Linked DNA regions of Rattus norvegicus. The protein of the gene in region 2 purifies or fractionates together with the protein of the main gene of each other region. This does not show direct contact. Links are inferred from orthologs where the notes say so. Each region holds a gene or a part of one and is shown on either strand. Other genes may lie near its edges.

Evidence for each region. Proteins that work in one complex are often made in the same cells at the same time.
Region 1: the proteins of Cxxc1 (region 2) and Setd1b purify together in Homo sapiens (affinity purification with mass spectrometry; 11 studies listed by BioGRID and IntAct, counting the BioPlex papers as one, with this or other methods). This does not show direct contact. The link is inferred for Rattus norvegicus from reciprocal best matches to the Homo sapiens genes CXXC1 and SETD1B.
Region 3: the proteins of Cxxc1 (region 2) and Wdr82 purify together in Homo sapiens (affinity purification with western blotting; 7 studies listed by BioGRID and IntAct, with this or other methods). This does not show direct contact. The link is inferred for Rattus norvegicus from reciprocal best matches to the Homo sapiens genes CXXC1 and WDR82.
Region 4: the proteins of Cxxc1 (region 2) and Bod1l1 purify together in Homo sapiens (affinity purification with mass spectrometry; 5 studies listed by BioGRID and IntAct, counting the BioPlex papers as one, with this or other methods). This does not show direct contact. The link is inferred for Rattus norvegicus from reciprocal best matches to the Homo sapiens genes CXXC1 and BOD1L1.

What each region holds. Positions count from the first base shown.
Region 1 is NC_086030.1:39,068,893-39,072,409, reverse strand, and holds part of Setd1b (histone-lysine N-methyltransferase SETD1B), read left to right. Parts: coding exon 1-586; intron 587-3,517. UniProt on the Homo sapiens protein: Histone methyltransferase that catalyzes methyl group transfer from S-adenosyl-L-methionine to the epsilon-amino group of 'Lys-4' of histone H3 (H3K4) via a non-processive mechanism.
Region 2 is NC_086036.1:70,087,230-70,091,539, reverse strand, and holds the start of Cxxc1 (CXXC-type zinc finger protein 1), read right to left. Parts: upstream 2,815-4,310; 5' UTR 2,762-2,814; coding exon 2,759-2,761; intron 2,097-2,758; coding exon 1,978-2,096; intron 1,876-1,977; coding exon 1,775-1,875; intron 1,485-1,774; coding exon 1,249-1,484; intron 1,161-1,248; coding exon 966-1,160; intron 612-965; coding exon 585-611; intron 509-584; coding exon 266-508; intron 113-265; coding exon 5-112; coding exon of another isoform or gene 1-4. UniProt on the Homo sapiens protein: Transcriptional activator that exhibits a unique DNA binding specificity for CpG unmethylated motifs with a preference for CpGG.
Region 3 is NC_086026.1:115,703,287-115,706,803, forward strand, and holds part of Wdr82 (WD repeat-containing protein 82), read left to right. Parts: intron 1-2,426; coding exon 2,427-2,526; intron 2,527-2,991; coding exon 2,992-3,108; intron 3,109-3,465; coding exon 3,466-3,517. UniProt on the Homo sapiens protein: Regulatory component of the SET1/COMPASS complex implicated in the tethering of this complex to transcriptional start sites of active genes.
Region 4 is NC_086032.1:73,337,870-73,341,386, reverse strand, and holds part of Bod1l1 (biorientation of chromosomes in cell division protein 1-like 1), read right to left. Parts: intron 2,846-3,517; coding exon 2,734-2,845; intron 2,243-2,733; coding exon 2,104-2,242; intron 1-2,103. UniProt on the Homo sapiens protein: Component of the fork protection machinery required to protect stalled/damaged replication forks from uncontrolled DNA2-dependent resection.

The sequences.
Region 1 (3,517 bases), on a different chromosome or scaffold from region 2:
GCCACCACCACCACCACCACCACCAGCCCATCCTGCAGTGACAGTCCCCCCGCCACCCTTGCCAGCGCCCCCGGGTGTCCCACCCCCACCCATCCTTCCACCACTGCCGCCCTTCCCGCCAGGACTGTTTCCTGTGATGCAGGTGGACATGAGCCATGTGCTGGGTGGGCAGTGGGGCGGCATGCCCATGTCCTTCCAGATGCAAACACAGATGTTAAGCCGGCTCATGACAGGCCAGGGTACTTGCCCCTACCCACCCTTCATGGCCGCTGCCGCCGCTGCCGCTTCTGCTGGGCTACAGTTTGTCAACTTGCCCCCCTACCGGAGCCCGTTCTCCCTGAGCAACAGTGGCCCAGGACGTGGACAGCACTGGCCGCCCCTGCCCAAGTTTGACCCCTCTGTGCCACCACCAGGCTACATACCGCGTCAGGAGGATCCGCACAAGGCCACAGTGGATGGGGTCCTGCTAGTAGTGCTCAAGGAACTGAAGGCCATTATGAAGCGGGATCTCAACCGCAAGATGGTGGAGGTGGTGGCCTTCCGGGCCTTTGACGAATGGTGGGACAAAAAGGAGCGGATGGCCAAGGTATGTAGGCGGATGCTCAGGGAGCCTCTTAGGGTGACGAGAGGGCTGGTAACAACTTTCTGAAGACGTGTCACTGGATGTGTGCTCACCTCTGAGACACCCCTTAAAAAGTGCTGATAATTGGGGTGTCAGTGGTGCACAGCTTTAATCCCAGTGCTTGGGAGGGAGAGGCAGGTGGGCCTCTGAGTTTTGGGTCAGCGAGGGTGACACAGAGAAACCCTGTCTTGAGAGAGAGAGAGCAAGAGAGAGAGAGAGGGGCGCAGAGGCAGGCAGGCACTAACTGTGCAGGTTGGACCCCTGGCACTGGCTGCATGTGGCCCTTCCCCTTTAAATAAGAGGAGAGTGCACATCAGACACTGTCCAGGCTGAGTTTCAGGTCTCAGTGCCCTCCTGACCAGGCTGTCAGTCCATGTGGTCCCACAGCCAAGAAAGGCCTCTGCGACCTGACTCTCCTTCCTTTTCTCTTCTGATACATGTGGCACATCTAACCTTGTAGGCACTGCCGCTTTCTCTTCTTCTCGGAGGCTTGTTTATCTAGACCTTCACAACCTATTCCTAACTGACCCCCTCTACACACGGAGAGACATTTTCTTGACTCCTTTTTTTCTTTTTTCTTTTTTTTTTTTTAAAGATTTAATCATTTATTATATATAAGTACACTGTAGCTGTCTTCAGATACACCAGAAGAGGGCATCGGATCTCTTTACAGATGGTTGTGAGCCACCATGTGGTTGCTGGGAATTGAACTCAGGACCTCTGGAAGAGTAGTCGGGTGCTCTTAACTGCTGAGCCATCTCTCCAGCCCCGAGTCCTTTTTTCTTAAGGGATGGAGTCTCAGCCTCTGCTCCCGTCTCAGCTGTAGAAGCTGCAAGGACAGGCACTTGCCTGGCTTTAATGGTTTTTTTGTTGTTGTTGTTTTAAGGTTTATTTATTATATAAAAAGCACACTGTAGCAGTCTTCAGACACACCAGAAGAGGGCACCAGGTCTCATTACAGATACCATGTGGTTGCTGGGATTTGAACTCAGGACCTGTGGAAGAGCAGTCAGGTGCTCTTAACCACTGAGCCATCCCTCCAGCCGGCCTTTAGTGCTTTTAAATCATCCTCTCAATTAAGCCGAGAGCAGTGTTACACACCTTTAACCCCAGCCCTGAGGGGTGGGATGGGAGGTGGGGGAGGCAAAGGCTACAGGATCTCCACGAGTTTGAGGCTAGCCAAGGTTACATAGTGAGACCCTGTCTCAAAAAAGCAAATCACGGTGAAAATAATTGAAAGAAATGCCTCAGTAGATGCCCTTGCTTCTTGTCCTCGCTGCCCTTGCTTCTCGTCCTCGCTGCCCCTCACCCCAGCCACAGAGGAGAGCAGCGGACTTGACAGTTTGGCTGTCCCTCCCTGCACTGCACCCTAGGGAGCCTTGTGACTAGGAACTTGTTCTCTGCAGTGTAGGTGAGGCCTGTCAGGACTCATATTATGGGGGCAATAAAACCAGAGAGAACAGCCTGCCACGCGTTCTTTTGTCCTGTTCTCACCCCCCCTCACATCCTCCCTCCCCCACCAGTAACAGTCACAGCTAACTAAAGCTATGTCGTCGGTAACTTGAAGTGCCAGAGCTCTGAAGATGGTTCATTTCGTGCAGTTCTTGTCCATCCTTTCAATCCAGTGTGTCAGAGCCTCGAGTGGCCTCTGTGGGGGACACTGAAGAGCTGTGGGGGCGCGTCCTGTAGTTTGATTTCTGTTATTTTGTTGTTACTGTTCCTTGTTTTGTTTTGTTTTCGTTTTTCAAGACAGGGTTTCTCTGTCTGGCCTTGACCGCCTTGGAGATCATTCTGTAGACCAGGCTGGCCTCTCTGGCTTTGAACTCATAGAGAGCCTCCTGCCTCTGTCACCCATGCACTGGGATTAAAGATCTGGGTGTGCCACCACCCGCAGGCTGTTGTGGGGTTTTTTGTTTTTTGGTTTTTTTTTTTTTTTCTTTTAAAGGTTTTATTTTTGATGTGAGTACACTGTCACTCTCTTCAGACGTTCCAGAAGAGGGCACCAGATCCCATTACAGATGGTCGTGAGCCACCATGTGGGTGCTGGGAATTGAACTCAGAGACCTCTGAAAGAGCAGTCAGTACCCTTAAGCACTGAGCCGTCTCCCTGGCCCCTGTTGTGGTTTTTAAGACAAGATTTCACTGTGTTGTCCTGACTGGCTGTTACTTGCTACTTAGCCCAGGTTAGCTTCCAACTCAGAGATCCACCTGACTCTCATACATACTGTAGACAGCCTCATTTTAATTAAAGCTAAATCTGGTTTATGTTTAAGTAAAATACTCACCGAAGGCACGCATTTAATTCTGGTACTCAGGATGGAGAAGAAAGTGGAATCTCTGTGGGTTCGAGGCCAGCCTGGTCTACAAAGCAAGTTCCAGGACAGCCTAGACTACATAGAGAAACCCTAACTCAAACAAACGAACAAACAAAAACAACAAACAAAACTAAACAAAGACAGTCACTAACCCAGGCTTACCTCAAATTCCCTTTGTCATAGAGAATGATTTTAAGGTGAGAATTGTCCTGTTTCCTCCGGGGTGTTAGGATCCCAAGTGTGCCTGACCACACACAGTTTAGCAGAATGAAACCTAAGTCCTCATGCTTGCTAGACAAGCACTCTTCTAGCTGAGGTGTATCCGCAGCCCTGAATACACTCCTCCAGCTGCTGGCAGTCCCTGAGCCAGATGTGAAACACATCTGTCATCCAGCACATGGGAGGTGCCCCCACCACCCCTGCCAGGAACATCAAGGCCAGCCTTAGCTACACAACTCTATGCACACACAACACAAGTGTGTTAGAGACGTCTCAGCCAGTTATAAGCACTGGCTACTCTTGTAGAGGACCCATGTTCATTTGCCAGCAACCACATGGCAGGCCAAAGCTATCTGTAAAT
Region 2 (4,310 bases):
TCACCTTCTTCTCAGACTTCTTCTCTCGACGCTTCACATGCTTCACTTTTACTGCCCGCTTCCTCAGTGCAGGATCCAGGAACGGGGACTCTTCTGCGTCACTCATCCATGGCTGCAAGCAGGGCATGCGCTGACCCACCTGATGACTCGTTACCACACCTGCTGCTCATTTCCCAAGCAGCCTGTTCGCCCTCTGGCCCCCTCCCCATTCTACGACTTCACCTTTTCCCCTTCCTCCCCACCACAGGATGACCATGTTACTCACTACGTGATCATCAAAGGCCCCAGCACAGAAATCCTGGTACAGATCAGGGTCCAGTGCTAGGTCCTCATCTGAGAGTGGCTCAGGTGTTGCTGTAGCCTCTGGTGGCTCCTTAACCACTGATGACAACACTGTCCCCTCATCTTCACGGATACGCCCCAGCTTCTGGGATTGCTGTGGCTGCTGTTGAGTGGGTGGTGGCCGGCGGGGCCTTGGCAGGGCCTCTGAGGGTGTCACCGGCGAGAGCTGCGGGGCAGAATCTCAGGACTGGCCCTGACCGCCCTGCCCGCAGCCCTGCCCCGCCCTGGGGGGCTGGACTCACCGAGGAAGGGAAGTACTTGTACGATTCCTGTGCGCAGGAGGAAGGCCTAGGTCAGCCCCAGGAAAATAAAGGTCTTCCCTGTCCTAACCCCATTTACTTACCCTGGCCTTGCCTGGTCTAACAAATGCAGTTTTCCCCTCCCCTCACCACAGATATACTCCATCCTACCCCATGTGTCCTGGCATGCTTGACAACCTAAAGCTATCATCCCCCCCACCCTACCCCCAGCTTTCCCCTGAACTTGCTAGGCCCCTCCCACATGTCTGAACATAACCAAGCTCCACCCCACCTGTACTTTCTTATTTGTAGCTCAAGCAGCCCTACTTGAGCCTCCCAGCCATGCTCTCCTATCTGATCTTGCCCAGCTCTGCCCATGCTCACCCGTGCCCGCAGCTGACACTGGCGAAGCCGGCACTTCTGCCGGATCTTGTTGGGGCCCCCAAACTTCTTCATGTCACGACAGAAGTCACAGTGGCCACAGTCCTCAGTGCGTCGGCATGCCTCACACTCACCACACATCCGAGCTGACCGTTTGATTTGCTGCTGCTGCTGCTGCTGCTGCTGTTGCTGGTGATGCTAGGAGACAGTATCCAGGGTAGAGATGAGGATATAGATGAGGCCCAAAGCAGAACTTTCACCCACCCCGAGCACTGTGGCTACTCACCTGGCTAGGTGTGGCCACCAAGGGCTGTGGAGAAGATTTGTGGGGCGAAGCAGAGCCCCGAGCAAGCATGGCCCCAACCCCTGTCCCTGACCCTGCCCGGCGCTGCAGTTCTGGATCTGAAGCAGGCCTCTTGCGCCCTCCTCCCTCATCCCGGGGCTCACTGCCGTCCCGCTCACTGCCATCCCTCTCCCGGCACTTTTTGTGGCGGTAACGAATCTCCAGCTTCGGGTCCTTCTCTGTGAGGCAAAGAGTGGAGCCAAGGTGGGTTTGGAGGAGAGGTTTGAATGGTCCCAGAACCTCTTTCTCTTTTCCTGCCCCACCTACTTGTCCAGCTCACGCTATGGGAGAGCTGCCCCTTCCTTTGGGTTCTTCCACAATTGCTCACATTGGAGCTGGCCTTCCAATTCACCACAGACCAACGATCACTCTGGCCACACAGGACACCATTATCACCCAGGATCCCTCCCATTACAGCTCCTTCATCTCTTGGAGTCCACCTCCTTCACTGCCCATGCACAAGCCTCACCTCGGCACTCGCGACAGTACCATTCCCGGATGGCCTTGGCCATCTTCTCGGTGATGCGGATGCAGTCCCCATGAAACCACTCGTTGCAGTTGTCACATCCACTGCATAGAATAGAGCAAGTGGTGGAGATGTGAGGGGTGGGTCCGCTTCACCGGGTTCCCGCCCCTGCCAGGCATCAGCCCACCTGCTTCTCCCAAACTCACATCATGAAGCAATTGATGTCCGGTTTGCGACAGATGCAGTAGATGGGGGCGTTCTCCCCATTCTCAGACTTGCTGTCCTCCCCAGCATCTGGAGGTTCCAGGTCTGAGCCATCTCCTTCCTGTGAGACCCACCCCCATGATGGCTCCTTAATTCCCTCTTCACAGCTCCACCGTGGATAGCCACAAATTCCAACTGTGTCTTCGGACTTCCCGTTAGCCTTTCCGTTATAGTTCACCCAGACCCTCCTCACCTAGTCCTGGGCCTCATTACTTTGTGTTCTACTTCCCCATCACTCAGACCTCCCATCACACTGTCAAGCATCCTGTCACTCTGACTGCTCATCGCATACACTCAACCAAACTGTCCCATTCAAGAGTTCTACACGGAGAGCACTTAAATTTATTCTGCTGTCGTCCCATCCCGACTTCCCACAAGTGTCTATAACTTAGCTCGTGGACCCCACCCCCAATGCCGGTTCTCCAGAGCCTGTGCAAATACATTCATGGCCAAGTCCTTATCTCTCTGACGAAGGTACTTCGCGTGAAGGTTTCCCACAAAACTGCCATCTGGAGTCCCCACTGAACTTCCACTACGGACCCCCTACAACGGTTCATCAAAGAACTCACAGATGGTTCACCTCAAACCTCATCACACCCCTTCACTCACCGGCCCAGAGACTGGGCACACAGCTCGCCAGGAACCCCGTGCGCCTGCCAATAGGCAGCGGTTGCCAACCCCTCCGACCTCTGCCTCTGAACCCCGATCCGACCAGGTACTCACCATATCTCCGCTCACAGAGCACCCTCTCTGGACCCCGCGCAGCAACCCGCGAAGCTGAACAAGCCCCTCGGCCGCGGTAGCAAAGGCACCCGCAACTACTTCCGCCACTGGTCCCGCCTCCGCGGTCCCGCACTCTCACTCCCCACGCCTGGCGCGACCGCTTAGCGGCAAACAAATAGGTCGCCCATCTAGAGCCTCGAATGTCTCCTTGTCGCCGCCATCTTGACCATCCAGTCCGTAAGACAGCGGAGACCATACGTTCCGGGAAGTATGGCTGCGCCTACAGTTCGGGTCGTCCGAGCGCGCCGCCACCTTGTCAGTCAAGTCCGTACGGTGGCCGCCAGAGGGCAATATGGCCGCATTTGCTTCGACGTTGGGACGCAGATGTCGTCAGCTGATTAGCGTCATCAGGCGGGCTCCGTGCGTTCCTAGGCAACAAACAGTAGCTTCCGGATCACGGCTTCCGAAGGGCGTGGCCAACTTGATATTTGACTCCGTACAGTGTCTGCTGCTGCCACAGACTGGTTAATCCTGTTACTGCCTACATGTGTCTCATTCATTCCTGCATCCAATCATTTACCCTTCGATGCTTATCAATGGGAATGCCAGGCCTCCGGAGAGGGAAATAAATGTCGTGCCAGTACCTGGCCCAGTTCTTGCTCCACTTTTATCTGCCTCCCAAATCATGTTTTTTAGCTAGGCCTAGTTTTTTGTTTTGCTTTGTTTTTTTGTTTTGTTTTGGGTTTTTTTTTTGTTTGTTTTTGTTTTTTTGGGACAGAGTCTCTCTAGTCCTAGCTGTGCTTCAACTCACTGTGTACATCAGGCCGTCCTCAAACTCACAGAAATCCACCTGCCTCTCCCTCTCAGGTAGTGGGATTAAAGTCATGAGTGATCACTTCTGACTGAAAAAAAAGTCTTAACTTCTTGAGCATGGTGGCATATGCTGGTAATACCAGCACTGATGGGGCTGGGGTTAAAGGATGCAAATTAACAAGGCTTGCCTAGAGTTGAAGTCCAGCTTGCACAATTTTGAAACCCTATTGGGAGTTTAGGGGCATAGAGAAGGAGACCAATAAATAAATAAATAAATAAATAAATAAATAAATAAATAAATGAAATGAGTGTTAGAAAAGACATTCAGAGCCAGTATTATCACGATATTAATTACATAGCCCTGAAGTGAAAACAGTGCCAAGTACAGTAATTCCCAAGTAAAAGTACGAAGGGCCTTAGTTCGACTCCTAGTATTACAAAAACAAATAATGAAAAGAGTTCTTAGGGCCAGTGAAACAGCTTAGCCAGGAAAGACCCTTGTAGCCCAGCCTGGCAACCTGAGTTCTATTCCCAGAACTTAGACAGGAGGATGGGAGGTGAGGACTGACAACCACAAATGGTTTTTGACTTCCACACTTAAATCAACTGACACCGAAAATAAAAAACATCATTCAGGCCTCGGAACCAACAGGAACAAAGACCTAGTCTGCGTGACAAAACGGAATCAAAGACTAAGTCACTGGTTCCAGGATGGGTCTGGGAAAGTCCCTAAACATAC
Region 3 (3,517 bases), on a different chromosome or scaffold from region 2:
AAGAAACATGTGGGCTAAAGTTATTAGGTGAAAACTTAATGCTGTAAAAATCAGACTTGGTATTTAGCAATACCAAATCCAAGATAGCTCTTAACAAAAGAACCATTTGCATTTATGAGGCCTTCCTCTGTGGAGGCCAACATTTGTGTTGGACTGTACATGAACAATGTCCCATATATGAAGGGATTTTATTATTGTTTGGTTTTATTTATGTATATGATTATTTATATTTATATTGTTTAGTCTCCATATATATGTGCACACCAGAAGAGGTCATTAATCACTGAGCCATCTCTACAGCTTCCCCCTACCCCCTTTTGAGACAGGGTCCTTGGCCGTCCTAGAACTTACAGTGTAGACCAGGTTGACTTACAGAGAGAGATCTGCCTGTCTCTGCCTCCTAAGTGCTGAGACTAAACACATGTATGATACAGATGATACAGAGCTGTGTGTGCGGTGCCCTGACAGGTATTGTGTCCTTTTGCTATCTACCTGTTCACCTTTGGGCTTCGGCAATAGAACAAAGAAATGATTCCACCGAAGTCTTCACTTTGTGAGTCACTAAGTGTAATTGTGGTCCTTACAGAAGCACGGGCAACTGAAATGGCATCTCCCTTGTCTCCCAAGTAATTGTTAATTCCTTATATGTCTGAAGGAGCAGGGTCCTGAGGGTTCCTCGATAGCAGCTCCCAACTGTTCTGACTTCGAGAGGGCCATGCCATGCCTAAAGGATGACAGGAGGGATAGCTGAGCGCTGCCTGTTAGAAGTGGCCCTTCTACTGCGTGGGGTGACACACACTTTTAATCCCAGGACCCAGGAGGCAGGGGCTCTGTGAATTGGAAGCCAATCTAGTGTGCATAACAAGCTCCAGGATGACCAGGGCTATGCAGCTGTCTCAAAAAGCAAGCAAACATCAAAAAGTGTACTTGAGCTGAGCCAGGTAGTATATTCCTGTGTCCTGGTGCTCTGGAGGATGAGGTAGAAAGATTGTTTAGAGAGAGAACTTTGGATACATAGTAAACTGAAGGTCACCCTGGGATACATATTAACACCCTGTCTCAAACTCCTTCCCCTTCAAAGTAATTCAGTAAAGAAATTGCACTTGTAAGCAGGTGGGGTATTTCTGCGTTGCAGAAGACAGGAAGTGTTGGTTACTGTGTAATGCCAAAGGATAGGCCACTGGTCATTTGCTTTCTTCTAGTGTTGGCACCTTGTGACCTGGCAGGTAAGTTTCCTACTGACCACAGGTTACATTCCCTGTGCTATCAGCCTTTTGTATCAACTGAGACCTTCTCTGAACTTTTAGAGCTAAATACTGTGACAAAACTGCATGTTTATAAGCATTCTGCTCCCTCTGTGTAAATGTAGCAGGATGGGCTACATGAAACCCTATCTCAAAACAAATAAAATAAGAAACACTTAGTGATCTATGTATGTAGATGTGTAGTAGGAAATCAGCACTACTATAATTCCAGAATGTTTTTATCACCCCTAAGAGAAACCCTGTACCCATTAGGGGCCATTCATCTAAGCGCTGTCTCTAGATTTCCATATAAATGGCATCAACATGTGGCCTTTTGTGTTTGGTCTCTTTCATGTACATGATGTTTTTGAAGTTCATCCTTGTAGTCATATGAATTAGCACTTGGTTTCTCTTTATTCTCAAATAATGTTGTGCCGTGTTTTTGTAGCCCACGTCTTGGTGGTTTGTCAGTCAGTGCACATTTGGGTTATTCCCGTTTATAATGCTACTGTAAAATGTGAACATTTTTGTGTAGACATTTTCACTTTGCTCAAGTCCTTAGACCTAGGTGTAGAGTTTCTTAAGTCACATGACCATCTTTCCAGAAAAAGTAAGGTTTGTTGTTCAGGTTGGTTGCTTCGACTTTTCTGTGGTGGGGTCAGGGGACTGGACTTGGAACTCACTATGTAGATGAGGCTGGCACTGAACTCAGATCCATCCACCTGCCTCTACCTCCCAAGCACCACCACACCCATCCTGAGAGGATTGTAGAGCATCTGTACAATTTATTTCCTCAGTGGTATATAAGGAGTTCTGACTCTCCCCTTCTCTTCCCCAGCACCGAGCCGCCTCTTATGACAGCCATTAGCGGGTGTGCATTAGTAGCTCACTGTGCTTTGACTCTTGGTAGAGTCACATACTTTGTTTTTAACACTACCTTGTTAAACCATCTTCCACTGAACCATCCTTTTTTTCTTTTCACAAATGCTCTGTGTTGATTTTTTTTTTTTTTCTCCATTGTATTAGCTGCTCTCGGTTGCTCTAGATAAGTCTGTGTATGCTTCCTAAGATGTTAGCCCTGGGAAGACAGGTATATATGTAGACAAGCAGAATGGTTTAGGGCTCACATCCAATTTTTGCTCATATTTTGCTTCAACTCCTATTTATCTTGATACATTGCAGGGTGGTGGCCTTGTCCATGTCACCTGTGGATGACACTTTCATTTCTGGGTCTCTTGATAAGACCATTCGACTCTGGGATCTCCGGTCTCCTAACTGCCAGGTAATGGTACCTCACAGTTACATTTTTGAGCATTTTCTGTGGAAAGCATTATCAGCTCTCCCTCTCCGTTAAGGGAGACAACAGTGGTTCCATTTTGGGATCCCAGAGTCTTGTTATGTGGCAGCAAAACCTTTTACTAGTTGGCTCTGCTGGATGAGCAGATAGCCCACTCCAGAGCAGACTGCATTGTAATGTGGCTTAGTGCTTGAAAATGTTGCCTAGAGCCTTTAGCCTCCAGGACTTTGTCTCTCTCTGACTCTGTAATGGTGTAGATAAGGTTGGTGGGATGCACCCATCCTGTGGTGACCTTTTACATTTTAGTCAGAGTTTTATTTGTTTACTTTTTAATCTTTTGTAGGTATCCTGGGTACAGTTCCTATTCCTTCCTTAGTTTTCAGTGGAAAAAGTCAATGATTGAGTAGTGGGCTCCTTCATTTATTAACTCTCTGTCCTCTTCTCTCTTAGGGCCTCATGCATCTACAGGGCAAACCCGTTTGTTCCTTTGATCCAGAAGGGTTAATTTTTGCTGCAGGTGTCAACTCAGAAATGGTCAAACTTTATGACCTTCGTTCTTTTGATAAGGTAAATCTTTGAATCCTAGAGCTATCTTGAGGTTACAGAAAGGGCAACTTGGACATTTAAGGACCCTTTGGGCCAGACATGGTGGTACACACCTTTAATCCCAGCACTCCAGGGCAGTTACAGGTGGATCTCCATGAGTTCCAGGCCAGCCAGTGCTACATACACATAGTGAGACCTGTCTAAAGAGACTGCCTTCCTGTGGTAGAGGAGGATGGCGGCTAACAGAGTCACAGTGATTCACCCTTTGCTGCCCACTCAGGAAGAATCTAGATGGTACGGTAGACAATAAGAGAAGGAGTTCTGAGAAGGGAAGTGTGGTGTCTGGAGTGTGGGAACTGCTATGTTTGTGTTTTGCAGGGTCCATTTGCTACCTTTAAGATGCAGTATGATCGGACTTGTGAGTGGACAG
Region 4 (3,517 bases), on a different chromosome or scaffold from region 2:
AATAAACCTGAGAACTGGCTCCCCTCTCTCTGAGTTCTATAAATCCACTTATCTTCAAGTTTATGACTAATTTACATAATTGTAATGATGGGCTGGACAGAGAGCTTAACCACTAAAAGCATCCACTACTCTTCTAGAAGACCTGGGTTCAGGTCCTAGCACCCACATGACAGCTCACAACCGTTTGTAACTCCAGTTCAAGAGTATTCAACACCATCTCCCGGTCTCCACAGGTTTCTGCACATACGTGATACACATAAATGCATGTAGACAAATACACATACACATAAAATAAAATTAGTGAGTTTAAGAAAGGAATTGGAATGGAATAATAAAATTGTAGACTATGGTTCACATTACATCATAGCTATTTTCAAGAGTTTCTCTGTAATTCTTCAATAACTAATAGAAGCAATGAAAATACAGTACTTAAAAAAAAAAAACCAACTTTCAGTGAAGAGGAAATCATGGCGTGATGTTAAAATAGGTGCTGGGAAGACTAGTGAACAGAGGCAACCTCTGTTAGAAGTGGTTACACTGGCCCAGACGTGATGCTTCTACAATTACTTCCAGGAGCCCATAAAGTCAACTCCCTGCAACAGGGGAGAATTGATGTCTATGTATATACACTTTCTAGGACACAATCTAAAGCGTCTGTCATATTTTCATAGATTAAAAATGTACTTTAAAATGCTATAGGTAGTAACACAATGAAAAACGGTAAAACAATAAACTGCAAGGCAAGGCCTTTATAAACACACAGTAACACCTACAGTCAACATGAGACTTTCTTTTCTTTTTTTTTCTGACAGATTGGTTTTTGTTTTTGTTTTTTTTTTTTTTTTTTAATTTTTATTCGTCTGTTGTAGTACAAATCATTCCCATGGGTGCAACAGTTCCTGCTTTTCTATTAAGAATATGGGATATCATTTCAGATGTAAACAAATGGAATGATTAATAATAATAATAATAATAATAATAATAATAATAATAATAATAATAAACGAATGTCAAGGTCAGCAAGATGGCCCATTAAATAAAGCTGCTTCCTGCCAAGACAGGTGGCCTGAGTTCTATCCCCAGATATTCAGAGGAAAATGCTTCCCCTAGAAGCCCTAGGTTGCCAAATAACTACCCAAGTGTCAGATGCTTCTTCTCAAGTTGTTGGTTGGGAAGGAGTCTCAGAGATTCCCAAAACAGTACTAGCTATTATCACTGATCTTGGTTGCAACCACAGGACATGGAGAAATCAAGCTAGTACTATTCTCAAAGCTTCTTCCCTGCTGGGTAAACTTCAAAGTACCAGAAGGTATTAAGCAGGCTCCTGGGGATGGAGGGAGTCATCAACAGTCCACAGAGCTGTGAACCCTGTGAGCTCCAACAACCACCAGCATGGTAAGACATGCTCATAGGTGCAACAGTGGCATGAACATTATGGGTGTCACTAATCATGTTCTGGTTGGATTTAAGGCCTGATCCACAAGAGACATGTGCCCGGTACTGTAAATTTGACTAATTTTCATATTAGTCATACTAATATTAAATACTTATGACATTTAAAATGCATGATTCGAGAGTTCATGGGACCCAGAGGTGGACATACTACTTTTATTTTGCTGAATAGATATAAAATCAAACTGCCCTATAAATTCCTCTCTCTAAAAAAGCTACACACCTTTAATTCCAGCACTGGAGAGGCCATGGCAGAAGGACCAGAGTGAGCTCAAGGCCAGAGTTCTAGGGTTATTTCTACACCTATAGATTAGTACAGTTCTCAGACCTCAACAGAGATGTCTCTTTGTGCAAAAAATGATGGTTAACACAGAAACTCACAATCCATCAAGAAGTGAAAAGGACTTTTTTTTTTTAAATGGGGAGATAGGGTCTCTGTCTATAGCCCTGGCTGTCCTTACTCTCTGTGTAGATCAGGATGGCCTCAAATTCACAGAGATCCCACTGCTCCTGCCTCCCCAGTATTGGGATTATATGCATTCCACACTATGCCCAGCTACTTTTTAAGACAGCCTATGCCCACTTTCAAAGCTGTTCTTCTGCAAACACACCATTAATGTGACACTCAGAATATAACAGGTAAAAATGCACCTTGAATCTTTTCTTCTTCTTTTGCTTAAAGCTACTTTCTTCTCTAAAACTTTCCGTTCTTTAAGGACTTCTTTAATTCTTGGGGCTTTAGGTTCCAAAGTCTTAGTTGACGAGTCTTCTAGGTCCACACTACTTTTGCCTAGAAAGTAAATAAAGAAGCTTTATTTCAGAAGACAGTTCTGTAACAGTGCTCTATTTACTTTTCATTACAGCTTTATAATCAGTATAAAACACAAAATAGCTTCGAAGGAGTCTCCGTTTCTGCTAGGAAAAACAGACGCCAATTTTGTTATATTTACTGTGCCAGATAAAAGTCAACATAAGGGCTGCAATACAGTCTGGGGCAGAGCTTGTGTTTAGCAAGTCTGTGGCCTTGATTTCAATCCCCAGCATCAGAGGAAATAACAAAAGTAAAAGGAAAAAGCAAAGATGATGTGAGCTGCATTATCATCATTGGAAATGCTCATCTGCTTCTATCTGAAATCCATTCCACCATTACTGCAGAATAAATTCTTCCACACTTAGGAACATATCACCTTTTTATGTGCATATGCCACAAGGAATATGAGACTAACTAGAAAATGATGGTGTGTATAAGATACTCTCAAATAACAGTAATATCTGCTATACCTTGGCTCTTCGCTTTGGAAGACTTTGTCTTTTCTGCTTTCTGTTTTCGTTTTTCTTCAAGTTTTTCTCTATTGATTCGTCTTCTTAAAAGTCTCTCTTCTTTTTCTTTAGCCTAAAACCACAATTGCCCGAATATTATCAGGTAAAAGCAAAGACACTCTGAAAGAATGTATGTGAGAAAATAGCTGAGAGTACATCCTTGAGGTATTGATCCGGCTCTGCAAATGAGGGAGGCCTTGGGTTGTAAACCCTAGTACTCAAAGTCGCCCCCACCAACAAAGTTTTAGTTTGTTCTTCTGATGTTTTTACAAATCAATAGAATATGCAAAAGTATGGTTCAGTGGTTAAGAGCACGTGCTGTTCTCACAGATGACCCAGGCTGACTAAGGTTGTTCCCAGCAACCACATGATAGCATACAATCATCACTAAGTCCACTTTTCAGGAAATTTAACACCTTCTAACCTCTGCAGGCATACACATACACACAGGCAAAACATACACACAAATCTTAAAAAAAAAAAGAAAAGAAAAAAAAAGGAAGCAGATATTAACTGTGTGTGCCTAGGTATGGGTATGACTACTCTGTTTTGGAAGCTACCAGCTGATAGAAGGCACAGATAGGAAAACTTAATTATTATATTAGAATGCTATTAATTTGAAGAAGAAAAGGCATTATCTGAAAAAAGGTGATGCTACAACCACAAAAGAGTACTGTTATTTGAGAGAAAAGTCATAGAAACATAAATATCAAGCATAAATGGGTAAGTCTTCAGAACTTCAAGT